4 linked regions of the Anolis sagrei genome follow. The protein of the gene in region 4 purifies or fractionates together with the protein of the main gene of each other region. This does not show direct contact. Links are inferred from orthologs where the notes say so. Each region holds a gene or a part of one and is shown on either strand. Other genes may lie near its edges.

Evidence for each region.
Region 1: the proteins of SLC38A9 (region 4) and LAMTOR4 purify together in Homo sapiens (affinity purification with mass spectrometry; 4 studies listed by BioGRID and IntAct, with this or other methods). This does not show direct contact. The link is inferred for Anolis sagrei from reciprocal best matches to the Homo sapiens genes SLC38A9 and LAMTOR4.
Region 2: the proteins of SLC38A9 (region 4) and LAMTOR2 purify together in Homo sapiens (co-immunoprecipitation; 5 studies listed by BioGRID and IntAct, with this or other methods). This does not show direct contact. The link is inferred for Anolis sagrei from reciprocal best matches to the Homo sapiens genes SLC38A9 and LAMTOR2.
Region 3: the proteins of SLC38A9 (region 4) and LAMTOR1 purify together in Homo sapiens (co-immunoprecipitation; 5 studies listed by BioGRID and IntAct, with this or other methods). This does not show direct contact. The link is inferred for Anolis sagrei from reciprocal best matches to the Homo sapiens genes SLC38A9 and LAMTOR1.

What each region holds. Positions count from the first base shown.
Region 1 is NC_090026.1:580,857-588,386, reverse strand, and holds the start of LAMTOR4 (ragulator complex protein LAMTOR4), read right to left. Parts: upstream 3,163-7,530; 5' UTR 3,067-3,162; coding exon 3,064-3,066; intron 2,969-3,063; coding exon 2,870-2,968; intron 1,170-2,869; coding exon 1,052-1,169; intron 1-1,051. UniProt on the Homo sapiens protein: As part of the Ragulator complex it is involved in amino acid sensing and activation of mTORC1, a signaling complex promoting cell growth in response to growth factors, energy levels, and amino acids.
Region 2 is NC_090032.1:22,562,112-22,569,764, forward strand, and holds the start of LAMTOR2 (ragulator complex protein LAMTOR2), read left to right. Parts: upstream 1-4,437; 5' UTR 4,438-4,528; coding exon 4,529-4,596; intron 4,597-6,357; coding exon 6,358-6,520; intron 6,521-7,653. UniProt on the Homo sapiens protein: As part of the Ragulator complex it is involved in amino acid sensing and activation of mTORC1, a signaling complex promoting cell growth in response to growth factors, energy levels, and amino acids.
Region 3 is NC_090023.1:4,770,555-4,778,089, reverse strand, and holds the start of LAMTOR1 (ragulator complex protein LAMTOR1), read right to left. Parts: upstream 3,298-7,535; 5' UTR 3,139-3,297; coding exon 3,097-3,138; intron 1-3,096. Other genes in the region: secreted frizzled-related protein 2-like, read left to right, coding at 6,222-6,358. UniProt on the Homo sapiens protein: Key component of the Ragulator complex, a multiprotein complex involved in amino acid sensing and activation of mTORC1, a signaling complex promoting cell growth in response to growth factors, energy levels, and amino acids.
Region 4 is NC_090022.1:272,439,404-272,447,467, reverse strand, and holds the start of SLC38A9 (neutral amino acid transporter 9), read right to left. Parts: upstream 3,314-8,064; 5' UTR 3,198-3,313; intron 1-3,197.

The sequences.
Region 1 (7,530 bases), on a different chromosome or scaffold from region 4:
CTAAAAAACTTCAGAAAAAACTTCTGAAGCTTCCCTCTCCCTCTGTTGTTGACTGTTGGTGTGATATTATAATTTTTTTTCACTAATTAAACAAAAAACAACCATAAAACTTGCCCCAGACATGCGGAAATAATAACGAAACGATCTCAAACCAATAACGAAACAAATACATAACGAAATACGAAGCATTTACGAAACAAATTGAAAAATTCGTTTCGTTTTTAAGTTGCTCCAGAATGGTTCGTTATCGCTTCGTTAACAAAAAATTAACGGATTTTTAACGAATTACGAAACGAAACGCCCAGCCCTAATATATATATAGATAGATAGATAGATAGATAGATAGAGATAGATATAGATAGATAGATAGATAGATATATAAGCTGCTCTGAGTCCCCTTGGGGGTGAGAAGGGCGGCAAAGAAAGGTCATAAACAAATAAATACACAGGCCAGAAACTACAAACTACAAATCCCAGCGCTCTGCAGGAGTTGGAAAGGCAGCCACAAGGTTGGGAGGGGAGAGGTGCCCCAGTCATGCATCACAGCATCAACCTGCAGCAGAATTCTGGGAAAAGTAGTTCAGGAGAGGTGGGACCTGCTTGGGTCAGAATCCCAAAGACTCTGCTGTTGACTACATTTCCCAGAATCCTGCGGGAGTAAGGCTGATACACAACACACCAAGCCCACACTGACCTCCAGCAGTAAATGGAATATTGGGGGGGGCATAAATACACAGGCCAGAAACTACAAACTACAAATCCCAGCACTCTGCAGGAGGTGGAAAGGCAGCCACAAGGTTGGGAGGGGAGAGGTACTCCAGTCATGCATCACAGCATCAACCTGCAGCAGAATTCTGGGAAATGTAGTTCAGGAGAGGTGGGACCTGCTTGGCTCAGAATCCCAAAGACTCTGCTGTTGACTGCATTTCCCAGAATCCTGCAGGAGTAAGGCTGATACACAACACAACAGCCCCACACTGACCTCCAGCACTACATGGAATTGGGGGGGGGGGGGGTCCGCAGAGAAGGCCTCCCCTCCCTCTGCTCTCACCTGAGATGCGTCGGAAGGGAACTTCCGTGGAGCGGGGCAGGCGGAAGGCGCAGGCGGTGCTGGCCAGCTCCGAGAGGGCCGCCGCCGTGCGCTCGTCATTCTCCAGGTCGCCCGCAGACTGCAAAAGGGAGAAGGAGAGGGTCAACCAGGGAGGAGGAGAATTACCATTATGATCAGTTAGGTTTGCTTATGCCCCACCTTTTGGAAGCAATTTGACCCCATAACAATCCACAATACACAATTAAAAGATTTAAAATAGAAGAGAGGGGCCCAGGAAGACAGCCCCATCTAGTCTCCTGTGTCAGGCTAATAATATAATATATTGGATATACATAGAATATTTATAATATTATAATGTCATGCAATAATAATAATAATAATAATAATATATTATTATTATTATTATTATTATATATTTATATTACATGTAATACTACTAATAATATTACAATATGGTGGTATGGTGCAATATAGCAATGTTTAATGCTGATATTGTACTATGCTAATTATATAATATATTGCATGTAATATAAACCTTGTAAGCCGCTCTGAGTCCCCTTCGGGGTGAGGAGGGCGGCATAGAAATGCCATAAATAAATACATAAATAAATAAATAAAATATTTTAAAGAACTAAAGTACATCAGAGGGTATACCAATATCCACCGGGAATAGCCAGACATAGAGTTTTCCTTTTACCCCGGCGTGCCATCACAATAATGCTGTAAGTGATTATGAATAAGCCAGGAGCCAGACATGGAGGCGAAACGTCAGGAGAGAGTGCTGCCGGGTGACATTGTCCACACAGTGCCAGGAAAACACACAGCTAACCCAAGCCCAGCCTGCCCCTGTTGATCTCCAACTAGGCCCCGCCCCTCCTCTTTCAGGCCCCGCCCCCTCCACCTCTGGCCCCGCCCTCCTATATCTCGCTCCTCCCTCCCAGGCCCCCTCTGAGGCCCCGCCCTCCTATACAAATCCCGCCCCTTCTCTCACAGACCCCACCCCCTCATTCTTCTCTTTTCTTAATCCCCGCCCCTTCAATCCCAGACTCCGCCCTCCTCTCGCAGGCCCCGCCCCTTCTCAGCCAGACTCCGCCCCCTCTCAATGTTTGCTTCCACTTCTTAATCCCCGCCCCTCCTCTCCCAGGCCCCGCCCCTCTTTTCCAGACCCCGCCCTCCTCCCGCAGGCCCCGCCCCTTCTCTCCCAGACTCCGCCCCCTCTCAATCTTCTCTTTTCTTAATCCCCGCCCCTTCAATCCCAGACTCCGCCCTCCTCTCGCAGGCCCCGCCCATTCTCAGCCAGACTCCGCCCCCTCAATGTTTGCTTCCACTTCTTAATCCCCGCCCCTCCTCTCCCAGACCCCGCCCTCCTCCCGCAGGCCCCGCCCCTTCTCTCCCAGACTCCGCCCCCTCTCAATCTTCTCTTTTCTTATTCCCCGCCCCTTCAATCCCAGACTCCGCCCTCCTCTCGCAGGCCCCGCCCCTTCTCAGACAGATTCCGCCCCCTCTCAATGTTTGCTTCCGCTTCTTAATCCCCGCCCCTCCTCTTCAAGGCCCCGCCCCCTCTTTCCCAGACCCCGCCCTCCTCCCGCAGGCCTCGCCCCTTCTCTCCCAGACTCCGCCCCCTCTCAAATTTCTTTTCTTAATCCCCGCCCCTTCAATCCCAGACCCCGCCCCCTCTCGCAGCCCCCGCCTCTTCTCACCCAGACCCCGCCCCCTCTCGCAGGCCCCGCCCCTTCTCTCCCAGACTCCGCCCCCTCTCAATCTTCTCTTTTCTTAATCCCCGCCCCTCCTCCCGCAGGCCCCGCCCCCTTTGCTCACGGCCAGGACGGCTCCGTCGCAGATGACGAGGTACCCGGTCTGGTCGGGGACGCGCTCCAGCCCTTGGGTCAGCGCCGCCGCCGCCGCCGCAGAGGAAGCCTGCCCGAGGGAGAGAGAGAGAGACCCGGATGAGCACAGGAAGAGGGGGGCCAGGGGGGCCAGTCCCTCCCCTCCCGGTCGCCCTGGCAACGCACCATCTCCACAGCCAAGGGGCCCGCGCGTCACGTGAGGGCCTCCAACTTCCGGCAACACCCTTGCAGCTCCGCTAGGCGTCCCGCCCTCAATAGGCGCTCTTCCCCCGCTCCCTGCCGGCCTCCCATTGGCTCCCGTGGATGAGTGGGCGTGGCGTAGCCGTGGCTTCCTCCAATCAAAGACTACGAGGAAGCGTGCCGCCCAATGAGGAGGAGGAGCAGCGCGGAGGGACCGGAAGTGAGGGAAGAGGGATGCCTGGCCTCAGGAGGGAGGGCCCCTTCTTCCCCGGAATCTCCCAAAGAGAGAGAAGGAAGGGCCCTCAGCGCAGGATCAGAGGGAAAGAGTGGGAGAGACCCCCAAAGGCCAGCCAGCCCAGCCCCCTTCTTTCTGCCTTCATGCAGGGAAAGCACCATCAAAGCACCCCCGACGGATGGCCTCCCAGCCTCAACACTACTACTGCTGCTACTAATAATAATAGAGTTGGGAGAGACATTTCAAGGCCATCTAGTCCAGCCTCCTGCAGGGGAAGCACCATCAAAGCACCCCTGAAAGATGGCCATCCACCCTCAATAATAATAATAATAATAGAGTTGGAAAAGACATTTAAGGGCCATCTAGTCCAATCCGCTTCTGCCTTGCAGGGAAAGCACCATCAAAGCACTCCCAACAGGTGGCCAGCCAGCCTCAATAATAATAATAATAATAATAATAATAATAATAATAGAGTTGGGAGAGACATTCAAAGGCTATCTAGTCCAACCCCATTCTGCCTTCATGCAGGGGAAGCACCATCAAAGCACCCCTGAAAGATGGCAATCCAGCCTCAATAATAATAATAATAATAATAATAATAATAATAATAGTATACTGTGGACTCATCTTATTGTATTTCAAATAATAATCATAATCATAATAATGAGTGTCTGCTGTGGAGTCATTTTATGTTTCTAATAATAATAATAATAATAATAATAGTGTTGGAAGAGATCTTTAAAGGCCACCTAGTCCAGCCCCCTTCTGCCCTGCACATTTAAAGCACCTCTGACAGATGGCCACCCAGTTATTTTTTTGGCTTTGAGCAACTGCATCATCCCATGTGGGGCTAGCTGACCATATCCTCTGTCTTCTCCCCACGGTCTGCTGTACCGATCCATTTAGTTTTCATTTAAATCAAGAACTGGCAAATAGAGGGAGAAGGCGTGGAGACAGCGACAGGGTTTGTCCTCCTAGGCGCAAAGAGGTTTCGGACTCCAACTCTCACAGTTCCTAAGAGCTGGTAGGCTGTTGGGAATTGTAGGAGTTGAAGTCCAAAACACCCGGAGGGAGGGAGGGCTGAAGGTGGCCTGGGCCTGAGTTAGAGGAAGTAATGCTACCCCTCTGCTTTGGTTAGACCACATCTGGAATATTGTGTCCAATTCTGGGCACCACAATTCAAGAGAGATATTGACTCTAAGCTGGAATGTGTCCTGAAGAGAGCGACTAAAATGATCAAGGGTCTGGAGAACAAGCCCTATGAGGAGCGGCTTAGGGAACTGGGCATGTTTAGCCTGAAGAAGAGAAGGCTGAGAGGAGATATGATAGCCATGTACAAATATGTGAGAGGTAGCCACAGGGAAGAGGGAACAGATCAAGGGTCTGGAGAACAAGCCCTATGAGGAGCGGCTTAGGGAACTGGGCATGTTCAGCCTGAAGAAGAGAAGGCTGAGAGGAGATATGATAGCCATGTATAATTATGTGAGAGGAAGCCACAGGGGGGAGGAGGGAGCAAGCTTGTTTTCTGCTTCCCTGGAGACGAGGACGCAATGGAACAATGGCTTCAAACTACAAGAGAGGAGATTCCATCTGAACATTAGGAAGAACTTCCTGACTGTGAGAGCCGTTCAGCAGTGGAACTCTCTGCCCTGGAGTGTGGTGGAGGCTCCTTCTTTGGAAGCTTTTAAGCAGAAGCTGGATGGCCATTTGTCAGGGGTGATTTGAATGCAATATTCCTGCTTCTTGGCAGAATGGGGTTGGACTGGATGGCCCATGAGGTCTCTTCCAACTCTTTGATTCTATGATTCTAGACATTGGCTTGCAGGTAGCCCCATGGCTGTGAGTCTAGACAGCTGTTGTCCTCCTGGAGTGATGGTGGGCGTTGTCCTGGCGTGGCTAGTCTTCCTGGCGTGGCCTCACTTCCATTTCTGTCCAATATAATTTGGGAGTACATTGTATTTGAAGACACCAGCTGTACATTAGTCGTGTTATTTATTAACGAGCAAGATGTGCCTCTGCTCAGATGCCTGCCTTGCTTGAGGGCCCTTGCAAGGGAAGGAGCCCAACGCCGTCTCTTGAGCACTTCCGTAGTGTCCAATGCATTCAGCCAAGGCATTGCTCCAGACGGGAGCTGGCCAAGGGGGCCGATGCACAAGGTGTGCTAACTCAAACTGCAAAATGTGCACGAATGAGAACCAGCACTTTCGAGTGTGTATTGACCCCCTAGCACAGCCGTTCTCAGCCTTCCCAATGCCGTGACCCCCTAACACACTTCCTCACGTGGGTGGTGACCCCCAACCAGAACATTATTTTCGTTGCTACCTCATAACTCTAATTTTGCTCCTGTTATTCGTCGTAATGTAAATATCTGATCTGCAGGATGCATTTCGATTCACTGGACTAAATTTGGCCCAAATACCCAATAAGCCCAAATCTGAATACTGGTAGGGTGGGTGGGAGGGATTGATTTTGCCATTTGGGAGCTGTAGTTGCTGGGATGTATAGTTCACCTACAATCAAAGAGCATTCTGAACGCCATCAATGATGGAATTGACCTAAACTTGGCACACAGAACTCCCATCACCAACAGAAAATACTGGAAGGGTTTGGTGGGCATTGACCTTGAGTTTGGGAGTTGTAGTTCACCTACATCCAGAGAGCAGTGTGGACTCAAACAATGGTGGATCTGGACCAAACTTGGCATGAATACTCCATATGCCCAAATGTGAACACTGGTGGAGTTTGGAGAAAATATACCTTGACATTTGGGAGTTGTAATTGCTGGGATTTATAGTTCACCTACAACCAAAGAACATTCTGAACTCCACCAAGATGGAAATGAACCAAATTTGGCACACAGAACTCCCATCACCAACAGAAAACACTGGAAGGGTTTGGTGGGCATTGACCTTGAGTTTGGAAGTTGTAGTTCACCTACATCCAGAGAGCAGTGTGGACTCAAACAATGATGGATCTGGACCAAACTTGGCACCAATGCTCAATACACCCAAATGTGAACACTGGTGGAATCTGGGGAAAATAGGCCTTGACATTTGGGAGTTGTAGTTGCTGGGATTTATAGTTCACCTACAATTAAAGAGCAATCTGAAATTCAGCAAATATCAGTGTTTCTCAACCTTCCCAATGCTGTGACCCCTTAATACAGTTCCTCATGTTTTGGTGACCCCCAACCATCAAATTATTTTCGTTGCTACTTCATAACTATAATTTTGCTACTGGTATCAATTGTAATGTAAATATCTGATACACAGGATGTATTTTCATTCACTGGACCAGATTTTGCACAAATACTCGATACTCCCAAATCTGAATACTGTTGGGGGGGGGGGGGGAGATATTCATATTGTCATTTGGGAGTTACAGTTTGCTGAGATTTATAGTTCACCTCCAATTAAAGAGCATTCTGAAATGCACCAAAGATGGAACTGAACCAAACTTGGCACACAGAACTCCCATGGCCAAAAGAAAATACTGGAAGGGTTTGGTGGACATTGTAGTTCACCTACATCCAGAGAGCACTGTGGATTCAAACAATGATGGATCTGGACCAAACTTGGCATGGGTACGCAATATGCCCAAATGTGAACAGTGGTGGAATTTGGAAGTCGTGATTCCTGGGATTTTTAGTTCCCCTACAACCAAAGAGCATTCTGAACTCCACCAACAATAGAATTGGGCCAAACGTCCCACAAAGAACCCCCATGACCAACAGAAAATACTGTGTTTTCTGATTATCTTTGGTGATGATGTCAGGCACCCCCCCCCCCCTTTCAGAATTAAGGGATAAGAACTTATAGTTCTGCAAAGGGCAAGGTCACCAGACTACACAACAAGGGTTAAGTCTTGACCACATTGCCAAGGCACTGACAACAACAAGGACCCCACGAGGCTTTTTGGGAAATGGCTGGATCTTGGGACTTCTGCCCTTTTGTGAGAGTTGTAGTTCCCCAAGGGCCGGACAATGGATTCTGTTGCTGCCTGACCCAGCGCACATAACTGGGTTCCTGTTTCCTTTTTGTGACTCTCTGACTTATGCACTGGACTATTTATCATATCCATGACCACGAACTATCCTTTTCAAAGTTTATGAAGCCTCCAGCTTGTGCCTTAATAAAGATCAATTATTGAGATAAACTTTATGGGGTGGGAAGGGGTTCCTCTTCTGCTCTAACTCTGTATCAGTGATGCCTATTGCC
Region 2 (7,653 bases), on a different chromosome or scaffold from region 4:
ACAACCAATCCCAATTGGAAGTTAAACCGGAATCAAAGTGGTATAACTGTCCAGTGTGGAAAGAAGAATGAATGAATGAATGAATATATATATATATATATACACACACACACACACACACACACACACACACACATTTCTTTCCTACCCAAACAGCAGGCTTTTAATGTAATATCTTCCTTGAATTTTTGATTTAATATCTTATTAATATTATTATTATTATTATTTTGGGATCTTTCAATGGTTTCTCTTTTGCAAAACACGCATGCAAATCCTTCTCTTCAACCCAAACACACATTTAACATTAATTAACATTCATAATTAATATTAGAAATTCATGCACCGAGTTTGTTCATAGGCTTCCGAGGATCGTGCCACTAGCTTTAAAGTGGTTTCAAACTGGGTTAATTCCACCGTGTGGACGCTTAAACTGCTGAGCTGCTGAACATGCTGACCAAAATGTAGGCGGCTCGAATCCAGCGAGTGGGGTGAGCTCCCACTGTTAGCCCCAGCTTCTGCCAGCCTAGCTGTTCAATAATATTTTCACAAATCCCGATGACATCTAGACTTATTATTATTATTATTAGGCCGCCCAGTAGCGCAGCGGGTTAAACTGCTGAGCTGCTGAACTTGCTGACCAAAACGTAGGCGGCTCGAATCCAGCGAGTGGGGTGAGCTCCTGCTGTTAGCCCCAGCTTCTGCCAACCTAGCAGTTCAGAAACATGGAAATGTGACATTGATTGATTGATTGATTGATTGACTCTAAGCTGCACCAGTTGCTATGGAATTCCACGCAACGGGACTCCGGCCATGTTTTCCTTTTATGACATCACATAAAAGTCTTGATCTGTGGCAGTCGGGCCCCGATCGGGCCTTTGCCATGCAGGGCCTGCCGTGGTGTGGGCTCCTGTGGTTCTTCTGCCGGCCTGCTTGGGCCGCCCGACACATAGTGGACAAGCCGGACAACTCCGCTGCCGGGCTGAGCTGGGGGAACGTGGTCGTGATCTTCGCTGTGGTCTTCCTCTTGGCTTTGGGTGTCAAGTGGCTGCGGGACAGGATCCTCGCCGAAGGGGCCAACAAAGCAAAGGTGATTCCTGGGTGGCCTCCCTCCCTCCTCCTGGGGTATCCGCACCGGGTTTTAGTCTGAACTTTACGAGCCCTAACGATGGTGCTTGTAACCGTACTGTATGCTTTGAGAAATAAAGCCTTTCCAGACTGTCTTTGAGGTAATTTCTTCTCTGCAGATGAGGACTATCCTCATCATCTTGCCTTTCCTTGCCGCTCGAGGCAGGGTATGTCAGAGTTCAGACGTTGCCCAGCGGAAGGAAGGCTAGATCAGCAGACACTGAGTTGCAAAATCAGGACTCCGCAGGCTTTGAGTTACAAAAGAAACTAAGTTTACTAAGCACATTCCACAGACACGTCTTACTACAGCGAGCTACAATTCAGGAAGTAGTACGGTTACAAGCAAAGTTCCATCTGACAGTTGCTTTCCTTCTCAACCCATATAGAGATATATGGGTTGAGAAGGAAAGCAACTGTCAGATGGAACTTTGCTTGTAACCGTCCCCTTCACAGCCCTATTTCTCTGTGGTTCACCTGGGCCCCCAAGTCCTTCTCTACGGGTGTTGCAATCCCACCTGGGCCCCCAACTGAGTGCCCTCTTTGCCCCCGTGTCCAGGAGGGCTGTCTGTCCGGCGAAGAGACCCTGGAGTGCCGTCTCTGCCAGAGCTTCTCCCAGATGGAGCAGGAGCTGGTCAAGCAGGTGACGCTGGTGCGCAACCTCAAGGCCGACCTCTCCTCGCGCCACAGCACCTGCACGGTCCCCGGGTGCCAGCGGGGTCAGCGGAGCCGCAGCGGCAGCAGCATCGGAGCCTTTAACCTGGTGGTCTACGACGTGGCCGAGGAGAAATGAGGACACAATACCAGCATGAGAAAGCAGCCAAGTGGCGTCCGTTGCTTCTTACCCTTTACTTGGGGGAGGGTTCTAGACCAAATGTGTCAGAATAAATATTTATTTATTTATTTATTTATTTACAGTATTTATATTCCGCCTTTCTCACCCCGCAGGGGACTCAGGGCAGATCACAATGCACGTATACATGGCACATCTTCGATGCCACACAACATATATAGAGAGAGATACAGAGGCTATTTACACCTAATAGGCAGTAAGAGCACCTAAAGCTTCTGAGAGCTTCTGTTCAACCATCTCAAAGCTCCCTGCTTGGGCGGTGGTGGCACGATCGTCAGCATAGATGAAACTCTCCATCCCTTCTGGCAGTGGCTGGTCATTTGTGTAAATGTTAAACATGAGGAACTGTATTTAGAGGCAATAAGAAGACTGAGAAGTCCGAGAGCTTCTGTTCAATCATTGCAAAGCTCCCTGCTTGGGCAGTGATGGCATGATCGTCAGCGTATATTAAACTCTCTGTCCCTTCTGGCAGTGGCTGGTCATTTGTGTCAATGTTAAACATGCATGGGAGCAGGCCGTTCTTCAGTTTCTGCCATCTGCTTCTCTGGCCCTGGAACTCAACAAAAAAGCTCCTGTTTTGTAGCAGATTTCCTATGAAGTCCTTTTTTATATTCTATGTTCTTCTCTGCATTTTATATGGAATAGAAATCAGTCAATTTTCCCTGTAATAGACAGTAAGAGCACTTAAAGCTTTGGAGAGCTTCTGTTCAACCATTACAAAGCTCCCTGTTTGAGCGGTGATGGCATGATCGTCAGCGTATATCAAACTCTCTGTCCCTTCTGGCAGTGGCTGATCATTTGTGTCAATGTTAAACACGAGGAACTGTATTAAGAGGCATTAGGAAGGTTGAGAAACACTGACCTAAATCTTCGGAGAGCTTCTGTTCAACCATTACAAAGCTCCCTGCTTGAGTGGTGATGGCACGATCATCAGCATAGATGAAACTCTCTCTCCCTTCTGGCAGTGGCTGGTCATTTGTGTAGATGTTGAACATGGATGGGGCAAGCACGCTCCCCTGAGGCAGGCCGTTCTTCTGTTTCCGCCACCTGCTCCTCTGGCCATGGAACTCAACAAAAAAGCTCCTGTTCGGTAGCTGATTTCCTTGAGTGGTGATGGCACGATCGTCAGCATAGATGAATCTCTCTGTCCCTTCTGGGAGTGGCTGGTCATTTGTGTAGATGTTGAACACGAGGAACTGTATTAAGAGGCATTAGGAAGGTTGGGAAACACTGAGCTAAGGCTTCGGAGAGCTTCTGTTCAACCATCTCAAAGCTCCCTGCTTGAGCGGTGATGGCACGATCATCAGCATAGATGAAACTCTCTGTCCCTTCTGGCAGTGGCTGGTCATTTGTGTAGATGCTGAACATGGATGGAGCGACTCGCTCCCCTGAGGCAGGCCGTTCTTCTGTTTCCGCCATCTGCTTCTCTGGCCCTGGAACTCAACAAAGAAGCTCCTGTTTTGTAGCAGGTTTCCTATGAGGCGGGTGAGGTGGTCGTCCTTTGTGATACTATACATTTTTCTCAGGAGGAGGCAGCGGTGGTTCACAGTCTCATAGGCTTCTGACAGGAGGTGGTGAAAATCAGGGAGGAATAAAGCCAGGCAGTTCAGGTGCCGCTCTAGGCCCCGCTCCTCGTCTTCTCTCCATTGTCTATATGAGGGAGAGGAAAAGAGACGGGCGGGCTAGAGCGGAGCGGAAGTGTTGCCTGCCGGAAGTGTCCGTCTGGAGAGGAGACTCCATTTCCCGGCGTGCCCCGCGGGATTGTGAGGGAGGGAGGGAAGAAGACAGCCAAACCATAGAGATCTCAAAGCCCGGCCCTTCAGGTACCGCTCTAGGCCTCACCCCTCGTCTTCCCTCCATTGTGTATCTATGTAGATAAGAGAGAGAGGCGCGCGGGCTAGAGCGGAGCGGAAGTGCTGCCTACCAGAAGTGTGGGTGTGGAGGGGAGACTCTAAGGAGGGCGACAGCGGCGGCCATGCAGTTCAGGTCCTGCTCTAGGCCCCTCGCCTCGTCTACCCTCCATTGTCTATATGGGAGAGGAAAAGAGACGGGCGGGCTAGAGCGGAGCGGAAGTGCCTGCCTGCCGGAAGTGTCCTTGTGGAGAGGAGACTCCATTTCCCGGCGTGCCTCGCGGGATTGTGAGGGAGGGAGGGAGGGAAGAAGACAGCCGAACCATAGAGATCTCAAAGCCCGGCCCTTCAGGTGCCGCTCTAGGCCTCACCCCTCGTCTTCCCCCCATTTGTGTATCTATATAGATAAGAGAGAGAGGCGCGCGGGCTAGAGCGGAGCGGAAGTGCTGCCTGCCGGAAGTGTGGGTGTGGAGGGGAGACTCTAAGGAGGGCAACAGTGGCGGCCAGGCAGTTCAGGTGCCGCTCTAGGCCCCTCGCCTCGTCTACCCTCCATTGTCTATATGGGAGAGAAAAAGAGACGCGCGGGCTAGAGCGGAGCGGAAGTGCTGCCTGCCGGAAGTGTCCGTGTGGAGAGGGGACTCCAAGGCCTGGCCTTCTCCTCCTCTTCCTCCTCCGGGTTCTCCTCCTTCTCCTTCCGAGAGCGATGCTTCGCCCGAAGGCGCTCACGCAGGTCCTGAGCCAGGCCAACACCGGCGGCGTGCAGAGCACCCTGTGAGTGTCTCCCTCGATTAGCTAGGCCTCACTTCCGGCCTCTCTAGGAACGCCTCTCCCTCCATTCGCAGAGGCCTAGTCCTCACAACAAGAGTCATAATAGTCATAATAATAATAATAATAATAATAATAATAATAATAATAGAATCCTTCCCTTCTATCATCATAATAATACTAATAAGAGTGGGAGTGAAGGAGCCAGCCCCCACTTCCGGTGTGGCTTGGACTACATCTCCCAGAATCCCCTCTGCCTTGTCACCCTCCTCCTCCTCTTGGGCTTCTTGGGGGCCAAAGTTAGGATCACTTGACTGTATCTATCCACAAGGGAAACATATTATTATAATAGTATTGCTATTATATTATTTACTATTATTATATTGTATATTTGCAAGGGGAGGAGTATATTAGTATTTTATTATTACTATTACATTATTATATTATATATGTAAAAGGGAAGAATTACAGTATTATTATTATTATTATTATATTGCGGTATATATTCGCAAGGGAAGTAGTATATTATTATTATATTACTATTGCTATGACATTATTATATTGTATGTGTACAAGGGAAGTATTACATTATTATTATTATTATTATTATATTACTGTATATATTTGCAAGGAAGTAGTATATTATTATATTACTATTATATTACTATTACATTATTATTATTATATTACTGTATATATTTGCAAGGAAGTAGTATATTATTATATTACTATTATATTACTATTACATTATTATTATTATATTACTGTATATATTTGCAAGGAAGTAGTATATTATTATATTACTATTATATTACTATTACATTATTATTATTATATTACTGTATATATTTGCAAGGAAGTAGTATATTATTATATTACTATTATATTACTATTACATTATTATTATTATATTACTGTATATATTCACAAAGGAAAGATGATATTATTATATTATTATTGTTATTATATTATTTACTATTATTATATTATATATGTAAAAGGGAAGAATTACAGTATTATTATTATTATTATTATATTACGGTATATATTCGCAAGGGAAGTAGTATATTATTATTATATTACTATTACGTTATTATATTGTATGTGTACAAGGGAAATATTACATTATTATTATTAGTATTATTATATTACTGTATATATTCACAAGGGAAACATTAGTATTGTTATTATATTATATATGTACATGGGGAGAATTACATTATTATTATTATTATTATTATTACATTATGGCATATATTTGCAAGGGAAGTAGTATATTATTATTACATTACTATTGCTATTACATTATTATATTGTATGTGTACAAGGGAAATATTACATTACTGTATATATTCACAAGGGAAACATATTATTATATTAGTATTGTTATTATATTATTTACTATTATTATATTATATGTGTACAAGGGAAGAATTGCATTGGTATTATTATATTATGGTATATATTCACAAGGAAAGTAGTATATGATTATTATAATATTATATTACTATTACTATCACATTATTATATCATACAATATATGTAAAAGGGAAGTATTATATTAATTTATTTACAACATTTATGTCCCGCCCTTCTCACCCTGATTGGACTCAGAGCGGCTTACAAGTTATTTGTACATACAAGATAGTATATTATTATCATAACAAAATATAAGTAGTATATATTACTATATAGTACTATATGTTGTTATTATTATTATTGCAGTTATTATTGTGATGCTATTATTATTCTGATTATTGTTCCCAGGCTGCTGAACAACGAGGGCTCGCTGCTGGCGTACTCGGGGTACGGGGACACGGACGCGCGGGTGACGGCAGCCATTGCCAGCAACATCTGGGCCGCTTACGACAAGAACGGCCACCAGGCCTTCAACGAGGACCACCTCCGCTTCATCCTCATGGACTGCATGGTGCGCACGCCGGGGCATGACTCCTCAGAATCATAATAGCAATAATAATAATAATAATAGCAATAATAAGGGTCTCAGAAGCAGGATGATAACAATAACAATGCATTTCTCAAAAGCAGGATGATGATAATAATAAGGTTCTCAGAAACAGGATAATAATAATAATAATAATAATAATAATAATAATAATAATAATATTTTTTTATTTATCTTGTCAGGAGCAACCAGATTATTATTATTATTATTATTATTATTATTATTAATAATAATGATCTCATATGCAGGGTAATAATAATATGGTTCTCAAAAACAGTATCATAATAAAAATACTCAAAAGCAAATAATTATTATTATTTATTTCTAGTATTTGTACCCCGTCTCTGAATTTTATTTTATTATACATTATTATATTACTGTACGTATTCTCAAGGGAAGTAGTATATTATTATTATATTATTATATTACTATTACATTATCATATTATATATGTACAAGGGAAGTAGTATATTAGTATTACTATTATAGTACTGTACATATTAGCAAGGGAAGTAGTATATCATTATTATATAATTATATTACTATTACATTATTATATTATTTAGGTACAAGGGAAGTAGTATATTAGTATTTTATTATTATATTACTATTACTATTGCATTATTGTATTATGTATGTAGAAGGGAAGTATTACATTATTATTATTATATTACTGTACATATTTGCAAGGGAAGAAGTATATTATTATATTATTATATTACTATTACATTATTATATTGTATGTGTACATAAACAAGGCCGCTACCATCACAATTACAATAATATAAACACAATCAAATACAAACATCATCATAATAATATTCTTGAAGCAGGATGATAATAATAATAATAATAATAATAATAATAAGGTTCTTGAATCTGCATAAGAATAATAGTAATAATAATAAGGTTCTTGAAAGCAAGATAATAATAATATTAACAACAAGGTTCTCGAAAGCAGGACAATAATAATAATGTTCTTGAAAGCAGGGCAATAGTAATAGATGATTACCTCTGAGGATGCTTGCCATAGATGCAGGCGAAACGTCAGGAGAAAAATTGCCTCCAGAACATGGCCATAGAGCCCGGAAAAACCT
Region 3 (7,535 bases), on a different chromosome or scaffold from region 4:
ACTGCAAGTTGCTTCTTTGTGTAAGAGAATTGGTCGTCTGCAAGGATGTTGCCCAGGGGACGCCGGGATGTTTTGATGTTTTACCATCCTTGTGGAAAGCATCTCTCAGGTCCCCACATGGGGAGCTGGAACTGACAAAGTGAGCTCATCCGCGCTCTCCCTGGAATCGAACCTCCAGCCTGTCTGTCTCCAATCCTGCTGGCTCAAGGGTATAACCTATTGCGCCACTGTGAGCTCATAGCAGCCACCCACTGCATGGCTGTCAGCCTCCTCCCAGTAGACTCAAGTCAAGGAAAACCTTCATGAGATCCAAGACTCTTTTTGACGTTCCCCCAGCAACAGCAAGGGTCTCCTTCTGGGCAGCTCAACCAGGAAATACCAACTGGATGGCCCCCCAAGAGGGAGGGTCTTCCTCCAGGGGCAAACCAAGAATGGGCCACTTGGAAATCCCTGAACAAACTCAGAAGCGGAGTGAGCAGATCAAAAGACAACCTGGCTAAATGGCACCACCTAAAAGAAACCCACACCTTATGTGACTGTGGAGCAGAACAGACAACTCCGCATCTGTATGCTTGTCCGCTGTGCCCTGCCTCATGTACAGAGGAAGAATTGTTGGAGGCTACAGACAATGTCGTTGCTGTTGCCCGTTTTTGGTCAAAAGATATTTAGCTGCCTGTGCTCCTTCTATTTTTATCAGATTTATACTGGTCGCACTGCCAGAAGGGACAGAGTTTCATCTATGCTGATGATCATGCCATCACTGCTCAAGCAGGGAGCTTTGAGATGGTAGAACAGAAGCTCTCCGAAGCTCTAGATGCTCTTACTGCCTATTACAGGGAAAACCAGCTGATCCCTAATCCATCTAAAACACAGACATGTGCCTTTCACCTTAAGAACAGACAAGCATCCCGAGCTCTGAGGATGACCTGAGAAGGAAGGAATCCCACTGGAGCATTGCAGCGCACCCAAATACCTGGGAGTCACTCTGGACTGTGCTCTCACCTGCAAGAAGCACTGCCTGAACATCAAGCAAAAAGTGGGTGCTAGAAACAATACCATACGAAAGCTGACTGGCACAACCTGGGGATCACAAGCAGATACAGTGAAGACATCTGCCCTTGCGCTGTGCTCCTCTGCTGCTGAGTATGCATGCCCAGTGTGGAACACATCTCACCACGCTAAAACAGTGGATGTGGCTCTTAATGAGACATGCCGCATTATCACAGGGTGTCTGCGCCCTACACCACTGGAGAAATTACACTGTTTAGCCAGTATTGCACCACCTGACATCCGCCGGGAAGTAGCAGCCAATAGTGAAAGGACCAAGGCAGAGACATCTCCAGCTCATCCCCTGTTTGGGTATCAGCTAGCATGTCAGCGACTTAAATCTAGAAATAGTTTTCTAAGATCTACAGAGACACTTGCTGGAACACCCCAGCAAGTGAGAGTCCAAAAGTGGCAGGCTCAAACCCAGAACCTGATATCAAATGAGAGACTCCCCCCTGGGCACACAGTGGACTGGACGACTTGGAAGGAGCTGAACAGACTGCATTCTGGCACCACGAGATGCAGAGCCAACCTTAAGAAATGGGGCCACAAAGTGGAATCCACGACATGCGAGTGCGGAGAAGAGCAAACCAGAGACCACCTGCTGCAATGCACCCTGAGCCCTGCCACTTGCACAATGGAGGACCTCCTTGCGGCAACACCAGAGGCACTCCAAGAAGCCAGATACTGGTCAAAGGACATTTAATCCACTACCAAACTGGCAAACTTTGTGTCTTTTGTATGTTTGTTTGTTTGTTCTGTCAAAAATGTAATACAAACTGTCTGGCTGCTCCTGACACGATAGATAAATAAATAAATAAATAAATAAAGTAGTCTATTCGGGATGTAACGAGAGAGTGGACCACCGTGGAGCAGAACAGACAACTCTGCATCTGTATACTTATCCATTGTGTCCTGCTTCATGTACAGAGGAAAAATTGTTGGAGGCTACAGACAATGCTGTTGCCCGTTTTTGTTCAAAAGATATTTAGCCACTTGCGCTCCTTCTATTTTTATGGGTTTTATACTAATTTATGCAATACTTTTGATCTATATAAATAAAAATGTAATGTTCGTTTGTGGGATTAACAGAACTCAAAAACCACTGGGCGAATTGACACCAGATTTGGACACAAGACACGTAATAGTCCAATCTATGTCCTTCACTAAAAAAAATTGATTTTGTCATTAGGGAGTTGTAGTTGCTGGGATTTATAGTTCACCTACAATCAAAGACCATTCTGAACTCAACCAATGATGGAATTGGGTCAAACTTGGCACACAGGACTCCCATGACCAACAGAAAACACTAGAAGGGTTTCGTGGGCGTTGATGTTGAGTTTGGGAGTTGTAGTTCGCCTACATCCAGAGAGCACTGTGGACACAAACAATGATGTTGAGTTGGGGAGTTGTAGTTCACCTACATCAAGAGATCATTGTGGATTCAAATAATGATGGATCTGGACCAAACTTGGCATGAATACTCAATATGCCCAACTGTGAACACGTGTGGAATTTGGGGGAAATAGAATCTTGACATTTGGGTGTTGTAGTTGCTGGGATTTATAGTTCACCTACAATCAAAGACCATTCTGAACTCAACCAATGATGGAATTGAACCAAACTTGGCACACAGGACTCCCATGACCAACAGAAAACACTAGAAGGGTTTGGTGGGCATTGATATTGAGCTTGGGAGTTGTAGTTCACCTACATCCAGAGATCATTGTGGACTCAAACAGTGATGGATCTGGACCAAACTTGGCATGGCTATTCAATATGCCCAAATGTGAACACTAGTGGAGTTTGGGGGAAATGGAATCTTGACATTTGGGAGTTGTAGTTGCTAGGATTGATAGTTCACCTAGAATCACAGAGCATTCTGAACCCCACCAACGATAGAATTGGGCCAAACCTCCCACACAGAACCCTCATGACCACCAAAGTGGGCCCACAGCAAACCCCAAAAGGCCCAGGTTTGTCCCTCTGGGTTTGGTCTTGATGACCTTTAGGGGCCCCTCCCTTTCCCCCCATTCTTTGGGCCCAGACCTGGTCCGAGGCCTCGTTCTCGCTGCTGTAGCAACAGCCCATGGTGGCAGCGGTTGCGGAGGACGACGAGGAGGCCGAAGAAGCCGCCCACCGGCCCGCCGACGGACCCTCTGCCGCTGCTCCCCTCGCAGTGCTTCCTTTTTCACTTTCCCCCTCACTTCCGCCCTCACTTCCGGTCACGTGAAGGCAACTCTAGACTCTGTCAACATCCGGGGACTCTGGCAATGCTGGGGAGGGTGGGGCTGGCTCACGTGATCATCCCAAAGGGAGGCCGGGCTCTGAGCTCACGCGCTAGCCAATCCGCTCTCAGTCTGAAGGGGACGCATGCGCATTGCGTACGGCGGAGCGGAAATTTCCATTCCTGCCCTGCCTTTTCTCGCAGGAGGCGATCACGTGATGTGTTTGGGGTTTTTTTTTCTTGCGAAACACTGGCTGCGCATGCGCAATAGGCTTAGTTTAGTTTTTCCTCCCTTCCCTTTTTCTTTCTTTCTTTCCTTCAGTTTCAAAGCCATATCCCTCTTCTAATTGCTCGCACTCATATAATTGCTGCCATAATTGCCTTGTAACTTTATTATATATTATATTTATATTATATTTATTATAATATTATATTTACTATTAATATTATATTATATATTGTTATTAATATATTATAGTATACTTTATTAATTATATATTTTTATATTATATATTATATACTAGTTTGGGTAACTATATATTATATTATTTCCTGAAGCGATAAAAGTCAGTTTCAAAGCCATATCCCTCTTATAATTGCTCGCACTCATATAATTGCTGCCATAATTGCCTTATAGCTTTATTATATATTATATTTATTATTATATTATATATATTATTTATATATATTGTTATTAATATATTATTTTAGTATACATTATAAATTATATATTATTTTATTATATATTATATACTAGTTTGGGTAACTATATTATATCTATTATTATATTATAATTTTAGTATACATTATTAATGATATTTTATTATACATTCTATATTAGTTTGGGTAACTATTATATCTATTATATTATATCTATAATATATCTATTATAGAGTTTGGGTAATTATATTATCATATATATATATATATATATACTCTATAATGTATTATACAGTGATGGTTTTGGACGATTTGGATCTTTTAACTGTGATGATAATGTTTTAATGTGTCTGGTGCTGATATTTGGAATATTGTGTCCAATTCTGGGCACCACAATTCAAGAGAGATATTGACAAGCTGGAATGTGTCCAGAGGAGGGCGACTAAAATGATCAAGGGTCTGGAGAACAAGCCCTATGAGGAGCGGCTTAAGGAGCTGGGCATGTTTAGCCTGAAGAAGAGAAGGCTGAGAGGAGACGTGATAGCCATGTATAAATATGTGAGAGGAAGACACAGGGAGGAGGAGGGAGCAAGCTTATTTTCTGCTTCCCTGGAGATTAGGACGCAATGGAACAATGGCTTCAAACCACAAGAGAGGAGATTCCATCTGAACATGAGAAAGAACTTCCTGACTGAGGGGACCAGCAGGCTTCTTTCCATGGCTCCACACAGCAACGATATTCATTCCGGGCTCCGGGGTCAGACTGCATGCCCTTTGGGTGCCCCTTCCCACAAATTTGGGCTCTGGGATATGACTGCTTGCGCTTTGGGTGCCCCTTCCCACAAATTTGGGCTCTGGGGTACGACTGCTTGCACTTTGGGTGCCCCTTCCCACAAATCTAGACTCCAGGGTCAGACTGCATGCCCTTTGGGTGCCTCTTCCCACAAATTTGGGCTCTGGGGTACGACTGCATGCCCTTTGGGTGTCCCTTCCCACAAATTTGGGCTCTGGGGTATGACTGCATGCCTTTTGGGTGTCCCTTCCCACAAATCTGCACTCGAGTCAGACTGCATGCTCTTTGGGTGCCCCTTCCCACAAATCCGGGCTCTGGAATGAGACTGCATGCCCTTTGGATGCCCCTTCCCACAGATTTGAGCTCTGGGGTACGACTGCATGCCCTTTGGATGCGCCTTTTTACAAATATGGGCTCCTGGGTCAGACTGCATGCCCTTTGGGTGCCCCTTCCCACAAATTTGGGCTCTGGGGTACGACTGCAAGCCTTTTGGATGCGCCTTTTTACAAATATGGGCTCTGGGGTCAGACTGCATGCCTTTTGGGTGACCCTTCCCACAAAGCAGGACTCTGGAGTCGAACTACATACCCTTTGTCTGCCCCTTTCCTACAAATCTGGGCTCTGGGGTCAGACTGCATGCCCTTTGGGTGCCCCTTCCCACAAATTTGGGCTCTGGGGTACGACTGCAAGCCCTTTGGATGCGCCTTTTTACAAATATGGGCTCTGGGGTCAGACTGCATGCCTTTTGGGTGACCCTTCCCACAAAGCAGGACTCTGGAGTCGAACTACATACCCTTTGTCTGCCCCTTTCCTACAAATCTGGGCTCTGGGGTCAGACTGCATGCCCTTTGGGGGCCCCTTCCCACAAATTTGGGCTTTGGGGTACGACTACATGCCCTTTGGGTTCCGCTTCCCACAAATCTAGGCTCTAGGGTCAGACTGCATGCCCTTTGGGTGCCTCGTCCCACAAATCTGGGCTCTGGGGTCAGACTGCATGCCCTTTGGGTGCCTCTTCCCACAAATTTGAGCTCTGGGGTACGATTGCATGCCCTTTGGGTGCCCCTTCCTACAAATCTGGGCTCCGGGGTCAGTCTGCATGCCCTTTGAGTGCTCCTTCCCACAAACCTGGGCTCTGGGGTCAGACTGCATGCCCTTTGAATGCTCCTTCCCACAAAGCCGGACTCTGGGGCCAGACTACATGGCCTCAACCCATTTCTTGAGCTTCTTAAAGTCCTAGTCTCAACCTTTTCTTCATTGGCCAAACTTTCCCTGGAATAGCCCTGTGTCCAGTTGGAGTCCTCATAATTCCAGGTAGGGATTGAGGTCATATAGCCTGACCCCTAAGCAGATGGGCAGACTAAGGCAATTCCCAGCCTCTTTGTCCTTTCCAGCCCTTTCTTTTCTCCTCCTCTTCCTTTTTATCCTTCCCACATTCCCATTGTTTTGGAAGGAGAAGGCTTATTGCAGCCCTCCTCATTGCAAGCCTCCCCTTTTATGACCCTGCTGCCCCTCCCTTTTTGGGGGGGGGCTTCCTGTCCTTTAAAGGGACCACCCATTTCCTTCTTTCCTTCCTTCCTCCTTTTTAGGTTTCCCTGCTTTTCTTCTTCCTTCTTGGACCATCCAGAAGCAGGGTTTGTGAAACTGTTTTTTGCTTAATAGGTGAAGCTTAGTCTTTAGGGGTCTTGGGGAGGTGGGGACCCCCCAAATGGGGAGCAACCAGGATGGGTTGAGAGAGGGTTTCTGGTTTGCTCCAAAGAGAAAGTCTTTGCATGCAAAGAGCAGAGTTTCCAAGGCTTTGCTTTTTAGGAAAGGGGGGGGGCATGAAGGATTGGGGTTCAAGCCCCCCCCCCATTGTGGGGAAGGGGCCTTGCAACTGGACCCATCCCCAAACACACAGCAGGTATATCAAGGGTGCATCTGCACTGCAAAATTAATTCAGTTTGTTTGACCCTACTTTAGCAATGGTGTGGAAACCTGGGAGTTGTATTTACTACCAGAAGTCTTTGGCAGAGAAAAACCTGGGAACTGTATCAGTTTTTGGCAAAGAATTTTGGCAAGGCCTTGCAAAACTATAACTCCCTTGACAATAAGTCATGGAAGTTTAAAGTGGTGCCAAACTGCATCCATTATGCACCAGATACTGTGCTATCTTGGGAAGTTGTAATTTGGTGCACTCATTGCAGAAATGCCAAGAGACCTTGCAAAACTACAACTCCCATGATCCCATAACATTGAGCCACGGCAGTTTAAAATGGTACCAAACTGCATCCATTATGCACCCAATACTGTGATATCTTGGGAAGCTGTAGTTTGATGCACTAATTCACAGATAGGCCAAGAGACCTTGCAAAGCTACAACTCCCATGACTTCAGGAAGTTGTAGTTTGGTGCATTCTTTGGCAGAAATGCGAAGGGACCTTGCAAAACTACAACTCCTATGACTTAATAACATTGAGCCATGGCAGTTTAAAGTGGCACCAAACTGCATCCATTATGCACCCAATACTGTGATATCTTGGGAAGTTGTAGTTTGATGGACTCGTTGGCAGGTATGCCAAGAGACCTTGCAAAACTACAACTCCCATGATCCCACAACATTGAGCCATGGCAATTTAAAGTGGCACCAAACTGCATCCATTATGCACCGGATACTGTGATACCTTGGGAAGTTGTAGTTTGATGCACTCATTGGTAGATATGCCAAAAGACCTTGCAAAATTACAACTCCCATGATCCCATAACATCGAACCATGGCAGCTTAAAGTGGCACCAAACTGCATCCATTATGCACCCGATACTGTGATATCT
Region 4 (8,064 bases):
AAGAAGCCTGAAAAATCAATCTTTCCTTGAAAATAAGGGCAGGTTTTGTAATTCAGATTATGTTTAGGACCACCACCTTCATCTGAAAGGCTGTTGTTATTATTTAGCATTGCCTAATCATGACCATGATTATGATTTCAAAATACGGTACATTGATACCACAAGCATGCAATTTCAGTGCATTGCTTAAATTGTTGTTTTGTATTGTTTGTGTTGTTTTTAACTGCACGTTTTAAATTGTCTTTCATCTTCCTGATGGGTTTAACTACATATTAATTTTACTCTTTCAGCCATATAGTTGGTCCTCTATATCCACGGATTTTGCATCCATTTATTCAATCATCCACAGTTTGAAAATATCACACACACACACAATACAAAGTTTGATTTTCCATTTTAAATAAGGGACACAATTTTACTGCACCACTATATATAATGGGATTCCAGTTTCCATGTACTTTAGTATCCACAGGAGGTCCTGGAAGCAAAACTCAGCAGATAATAAGGGCTCTTCCACACTGCCTTATAACCCAGAATATCAAGGCAGAATAACCAACAGTATCTGCTTTAAACTGGAATATCTGGCTGCCCTTATGTCTGATTCAGAATGTAGCATGGCTACCAAACTAATTGAATGATTTTTCTGTCTGCTTTCAAAACACTACTCAAGACTATCTTACTTAGGGCCCTTCCACACAGCCCTATATCCCAGAATATCAAGGCAGAAAATCCCACAATATCTGCTTTGAACTGGGTTATCTGAGTCCACACTCAGATAATGTGGGATTTTCTGGTTTGATATTGTGGGATATAGGGCTGTGTGGAAGGACCCTTAGATGACTGTCTTTTATTAAAAACAGGCTGCCAACCTTTATCATTGTCAAAAGATTCATTATTTGCCATTCTAACTACTACTTTACTTCTTACTTAGGTGATCCCTCGTTGTCTGAGTAGGATTGTCTCCCAAGATCGGTGTACTGGTGGCAGGTCCATAGGTGACTGTGGAGCCCTATTCTCAACCTGCATGTTGTCCCACAGTTAGGGCATTGGTTTCCAGGTGGAAGGCGGTCCCAGTCGGAGTTGGCTTGACACTCCTTCTTCTTGGCATATTTCTCTCTTTCGCCTTCCATTTGTGCCTCTTCAAATTCTACAGCACTGCTGGTCACAGCTGACCTCCAGCTGGAGCGCTCAAGGACCAGGGCTTCCCAGTTCTTAGTGTCTATACCAGAGTTTTTAAGGTTGGCTTTGAGCCCATCTTTAAATCTCTTTTCCTGCCCACCAAGATTCTGCTTTCCATTCTTGAGTTCAGAGTAGAGCAACTGCTTTGGGAGAAGGTAGTCGGGCATCCGGACAACGTGGACGGTCCAGCAGAGCTGATGGCAGAGGACCATCGCTTCAATGCTGGTGGTCTTTGCTTCTTCCAGCACGCTGACATTTGTCCGCTTGTCTTCCCAGGAGATTTGCAGGATTTTCCAGAGGCAGCGCTGATGGAATCGTTCTAGGAGTTGCATGTGACGTCTGTAGATAGTCCATGTCTCGCGGGTGTATAGCAGAGTTAGGAGGACAATAGCTTTATAAAAAAGCACCTTGGTCTTCCTATGGATGTCCCAGTCCTCAAACACTCTCTGCTTCATTCAGAAAAATGCGGCACTCGCAGAGCTCAGGCGGTGTTGTATTTCAGTGTTGATGTTGACTTTTTGGAGAGGTGACTGCCAAGATAGTGGAAATGGTCAACATTTTCTAATGTTGCACCATTAAAATGTATTTCTGGCATTGGAGAGGGATATTTATTTATTTATTTTTATATTCCGCCCTTCTCACCCTGAAGGGGACTCAGGGCGGAGCACAGCAAACATATATACTGCAGACATTCAATGCCGGGACACAAATTCTTATATACATACATAAACATTAAAAACATTTATCAAAATATTAAAATACACCATTTAAAACCGTCTGAGTCATTCACATCAAATCTAATCGGCCTGGTAATGCTTTATTGCCCTGTCCCGAAAACTTGGTCCCACAGCCAAGTTTTAACCATCTTTCTAAAGGACAGGAGGAAGGGGTGCGACCTGATCTCACCAGGAGGGGAGTTCCATAGCTGGGGAGCAATCACCGAGAAGGCCCTGTCTCTCGTCCCCACCAATCGTGCCTGTGACAATGGTGGGGCGGAAAGCAGGGCCTCCCTGGAGGATCTTAATCTCCGCGATGGTTCATAGGGAGAGATGCGTTTGGACAGGTAATGTTTAGGGCTTTATAGGCCAAATATTGAATTGTGCCCAGTAGCAAACTGGCAGCCAGTGGAGCTGGCGTAACATGGGAGTTGTATGCTGGTGCCTGCTGGAAGAGCACTTTGGTTTTCTTGATGTTCAATGACAGGCCGAGCTTCTCATATACTTCTGCGAAGTGGCTTGTAGATCTTCTTCTGAATGCGCATAGATTATTATTATTATTATTAAACTTTATTTGTACCCCGCTAGCATCTCCCGAAGGACTCGATACGGCTTACAAAGGCCAAGGGCTCAACAACAACAACAAACAATAACAATACAATGCAAGTAAATTAAAAACATAAGCAATAACAAAAACAAAACATTACATTATTACGCAGTAAAACCAGGGCCGGGCCAATGAAGGGTACAGGTTAAAAAGTGCTGGGTATAAGAGGTGATATGTTGGGATTCTGGGCAAGTGCAATGTGCAGAGAGTCTTAAGCTCTAATAAAGTGCTTTCGGGATGTAGTGCTGAAGGTTATCCTATTCTGGAAAGGCACATCGGAATAACCAGGTCTTCAAGTTCTTCCTAAAGACTGCCAACGTAGGTGCTAGTGTAATGTCTTTGGGGAGGGTGTTCCAAAGTGGGGCCAACCACAGAGAAGGCCCTGTCCCTCGTCCCCATCCTCCCAACATCCATGAAGTTTTGGAAATGTGAAAACTATTTTAATAGTCTTCCAAAAGCTATGACATGGCTGCTAATCATAAATGCGGCTCTAGGCTGTTTAAATGTCCCAAACTATTCTAGAAGTGGGCTCATGATCATGATCCTCTTTGCAAACAATTCAGGCACTTGCTCCACTTGGGTCCCTTCCAGACAGCTGCATAAAATCCCACATTACCTGCTTTATACAGATCCCAAAGCATGATACCCCAAATAGAGCAAGCAATCGAATGAAAAGTAGTGAGATGCCCTCTTACCTGCAAAGGATCTGCCTGCCCATGCCTTTCCCCAGGATGTGGGTCGGATCCCTCCCTCCCGGCCAAAGAACATCAACAGGAAGGAGGGAGATGGAGCTTCCAGCATGTGGTGCGCCGTAGAGCTATTTCCATTAGAGTGAACACACCTTCTGTGCCTAGGCTTCACCAGGGAAACATAGAGCTAGAAATTATAGATCACCGCTTTTCTTTCCTTTCGCTTTACCCATAACATCTTTCCTATCTATGACCCCTTCTACTCTGCCACGGGAAATCTAGATTATATCCTTCCAACTACTTTATATGGCAGTGTAGACTCAGGAACCTTCCACACAGCCATATAATTCAGAATATCAAGGCAGATGATACACAATTGAACTGGGTTATCTGAATCCACACTGCCCTATAATCCAGTTCAAAGCAGATAAAGTGGGATTTTCTGTCTTGATATTCTGAGTAATTTGGCAGTATGGAATCAGGACCCTGCCACACATCCCTATAATCCAGAATATCAAGGCAGATGATACACAATTGAACTGGGTTATCTGAGTCCACACTACCATATAATCCAGTTCAAAGCAGATAAAGTGGGATTTTCTGTCTTGATATTCTGAGTAATTTGGCAGTATGGACTCAGGACCCTGCCACACATCCCTATAATCCAGAATATCAAGGCAGATGATACACAATTGAACTGGGTTATCTGAGTCCACACTACCATATAATCCAGTTCAAAGCAGGTAAAGTGGGATTTTCTGTCTTGATATTCTGAGTAATTTGGCAGTATGGACTCAGGACCCATCCACACAGACCTGTAACCCAGAATATCAAGGCAGATAATCCACAATATCTGCTTTGAATTGGGTTATCTGAGTCCACACTGCCATATAATCCATTTCAAAGCAGATAATGTGGATTATATGATTTGATAATCTGGATTCTATGGCAGTATTGAAGGAACCTGAAGCTCAGGACTTTAAAAGTAAATTAAACTATGGATTGTGAGGAAAGGGACTGAGGCCCCTTCTACACAGCTGTATAAAATCCAGATTATCTGATTTGAACTGGATTATAAATCAGTATAGACTCTGGACCCATCTATACTGCCATATAAAATCCACATCTGCTTTGAATTGGATTATATGGTAGTGTAGACTAAGATAATCTAGTTCCAAGCAGATAATGAGGATTTTCTGCTTTGATAATCTAGATTTTCTGCCAGTGTAGAAGGGGCCTCTGATCCCTTCCAGACAGCCCCTATATCCCAGGTTTTATGCTTATCCCAGATTATCTGGCAGTACGAACTCATATAATCCAGTTTAAAGCAGATAACCTGGGATTAGATCCTCGGATATAGGGTCTGTCTGGAAAGGCCCTCAGATAATCCAGTTCAAATAAGATAATGTGAATTATCTGGGTTTTATGGCAGTGTAGAAGGGCCCTGAAACAATTTTGAAACAGTACATCGCAATGCTATTTTGTGCGTGCTATTTTGTGTTCATTATCCACACAATAGTTTGTGACAATCTCATCTGGAAAGGACTGTAGTAAACAGAACTGAGGAAGGCCCCTTCTACACTGCCATTTAATCCAGATTATAAAAGCCGATAATCCACATTATTGGTTTTGAACTGGATTATATGAGTCAACATTGTCATATAATCCAGTTCAAAGCAGATAATCTGGATTTTATATGGCACTGTAGAGGAGGCTGATGATGCAAAGGCAAAAATGTATGTGTTGGGACTGATTATCTTCCTCACACACAAAAGCTTGAGATATTGAAGAACTGATGTTAGCAAAACATAGTAAAGAACAGCTGAGGACAGAAGTTGCAAAACAAACAGTGTGGAGAACATAAATATTTAATTACCGTAGCTTTCTTCAGTCCCTGCGGCTTAGGTGTATCTATACTATAGATATAATGCACTTTGGCATCACTTTGCCATGGCTCAATGGGATGGAATCCTGGGAGTTGTTGTTTTGCAAGTTCTTTAGCATTCTCTCGCAAGGAAAGCTGGAGGCTACCAAACCTAAAATCCCAGGGTTCTGTAGTATTGAGTTGTGGAAGTTAAAGTGGTGTCAAACTGAATTACTTTTATGCATGTACAAGAGGTTGCAGTAGTTTTCTTTTATTTATTCCACACAGCTGAATAAAATCCCACAGTATCTGCTTTGAACTAAAATATGACAGTGTGGACTCAGATAATCCTGTTCAAAGCAGATATCGTGTGATTTTCTGCCTTTATATTCTGGGTTATATGGCTGTGTGGAAGGGCCCTAACTCCATACTGCCAAATAATCTAGTTCAATGTGGATTTTATACACCTGTGTGGAAGAGGCCATAGAAACTCAAACATCCAGCTGAATTGACCCTTGAACACACTACAAATAGACACACTTCAGATTTAAGAGCTGAAAAGTAAACATGCAAATTCCATGCATTATACCTAATCAAAGACTTGCTTTTTGAGAAACATTGCCAGATGACGCTCTTAGACAAATAATGGGTTATTTCAATTCTTTTGGTTCATAGTGGAAAGAACTGTTTGTAGCACTCACCAAGAAGCTGTTGTTTTGCTGAGCTGCACAAAAATATGCTAACTTTCCACTCCCTAAAAGCATCTGTACTCTCAACTATTGCACAATTGGCAAATATGGAAGAGGGCATCTTTTTTTGCATGACAATACTACCATCTTAGCAAATTTGTTTCCTGTCATGTTTCTGTCAAAAGAAAAAGGACCTAACCAGAAGCAAAAGTGTCCAGAAGTCGATGGCTTCAGATATGGTGTGGCTTCTGTTGTTCAGAAAGTGTATTGCACAGCTGAGTTTCAGGCTGGAAAGACACTGCTCTATATCCCAGGATCTAATTCCAGATGGGGCAATGCTGACAGGGGATAGGAAAAAAAGCAGAACTACTTAATGCCTTCTTTGCCTCGGTCTTCTCACAAAAAGAGTCATCTTCAACCTCAGCAAGATGGAGTGGATGAGGGATTGGAGGACATCCAACCCCAAATTGGGAAACAAGTCGTCCAGGAATACCTGGCCGCTCTAAATGAGTTCAAGTCCCCAGGGCCAGATCAACTACACCCAAGAGTGCTGAAGGAACTAGCGCAACGTTTCTCAACCTGCGGGTCGGGACCCCTTGGGATGTTGTGAGGGGGTGTCAGAGGGGTCTCCAAAGACCATCAGAAAACACAGTATTTACCGTTTGTTCTGGGGGTTCTATGTGGGAAGTTTGGTCCAATTGGTGGGGTTTAGAATGTTCTTTGATTGTAGGCAAACTATAAATCCCAGCCACTACAACTCCCAAATGTCAAGGTCTATTGTTCCCAAACTCCACCAGTGTTCACATTAGGGCAAATAGAGTATCCGTGCCAAGTTTGGTCCAGATCCATTATTGTTTGAGTCCACAGTGCTCTCTGGGTGTAGGTGAACTACATCTCCAAAACTCAAGGTCAATGCCCATGAAACCCTTCCAGTATTTTCTGTTGGCCATAGGAATCCTGTATGTCAAGGATTCCCAGAACGCTATTTGATTGAAGGTTAACTATAAATCCCAGCAACTACAACTCCCAAATGACAAAATCAATCCCCCCCTCAAACCCCTACCAGTATTCACATTTGGGCGTATTGGGTATTTGTGCCAAATTTGGTCCAGTGAATGAAGACACATCCTGCATGTCAGATATTTACACGATGATTCGTAACGGTAGCAAAATGACAGTTATGAAGTAGCAACGAAATTACTGTTATGGTTGGTGGTCACTGCAACATGGGGAAATGGATTAAGGGATCGCGGCATGAGGAAAGTTGAGAACCACTGAACTAGCGGAAGTAATCTCGGAACCATTGGCAACCATCTTTGAGAGTTCTTGGAGAACGGGAGAAGTTCCAGCAGATTGGAGGAGGGTCAATGTGGTCCCAATCTTCAAGAAGGGAAAAAAGGATGACCCAAACAACTACCGTCCGGTCAGCCTCACGTCGATACCGGGCAAGATTCTGGAAAAGATTGTTAAGGAAGTGGTCTGCAAACACTTAGAAACAAATGCGGTCATCGCTAATAGTCAACATGGATTTATCAAAAACAAGTAATGCCAGACTAATCTGATCTCTTTTTTCGATAGAGTTACAAGCTGGGTAGATGCGGGGAATGCCGTGGATGTAGCGTACCTGGTGTAAAGAAGCGCTAATCCCACTAGATGCCACCAAAATTATGTGAGGAAGCGTTAATCTTCTTTAATGCCACCAATATTCTGTGAAGAACCTTCTTTTAGATATCAATTAAGCTGCCACCAATATGTTTAGAGACGCTGGTTTATGTCTCTGTTTATCTTTAGTTGTGTTGTGAGGTGACTTTGGTAGTGTGGAATGCACCAAGCATAAAAGCAATGGAGGAGGCAGGTTTGAAATACAAAGAGAACAAGTTTTATTGTTAACAGAACGTAATTGTTGCAGTTTTGAGAATTTGAACTTGGCACAAGGCTTGATGTTACAAAATGGCTGGTTTGAGATACATTCAGGCTTCTGATGTTACAATTCTACAAACTCCTTCTTTAGTGAAGTGCTTATACTACTTCAGAGTTCCCTATTGTGAATATCCACACTGTTTGCCCTATACTCGGAACAAACCACTGATCACCAGTCTTTCCTTACTGGCGATCCTTTAAACCCCCTCTGTTAGATTCTTTTAACCTAAGCAATCTAACAAGGTAACACCTTCAGCTCTCTTGCTGAAGAAATATTCACAAATTCTAAGAACTGCTGAATTCTCACAGCTTCACAACCCAGAGCCCTAACTGACTCTGAACCTCTTCCCCGGGTCTCATCCACCGGACTAAACTACTTTTCCCAGAGTCCTTTCTTGAC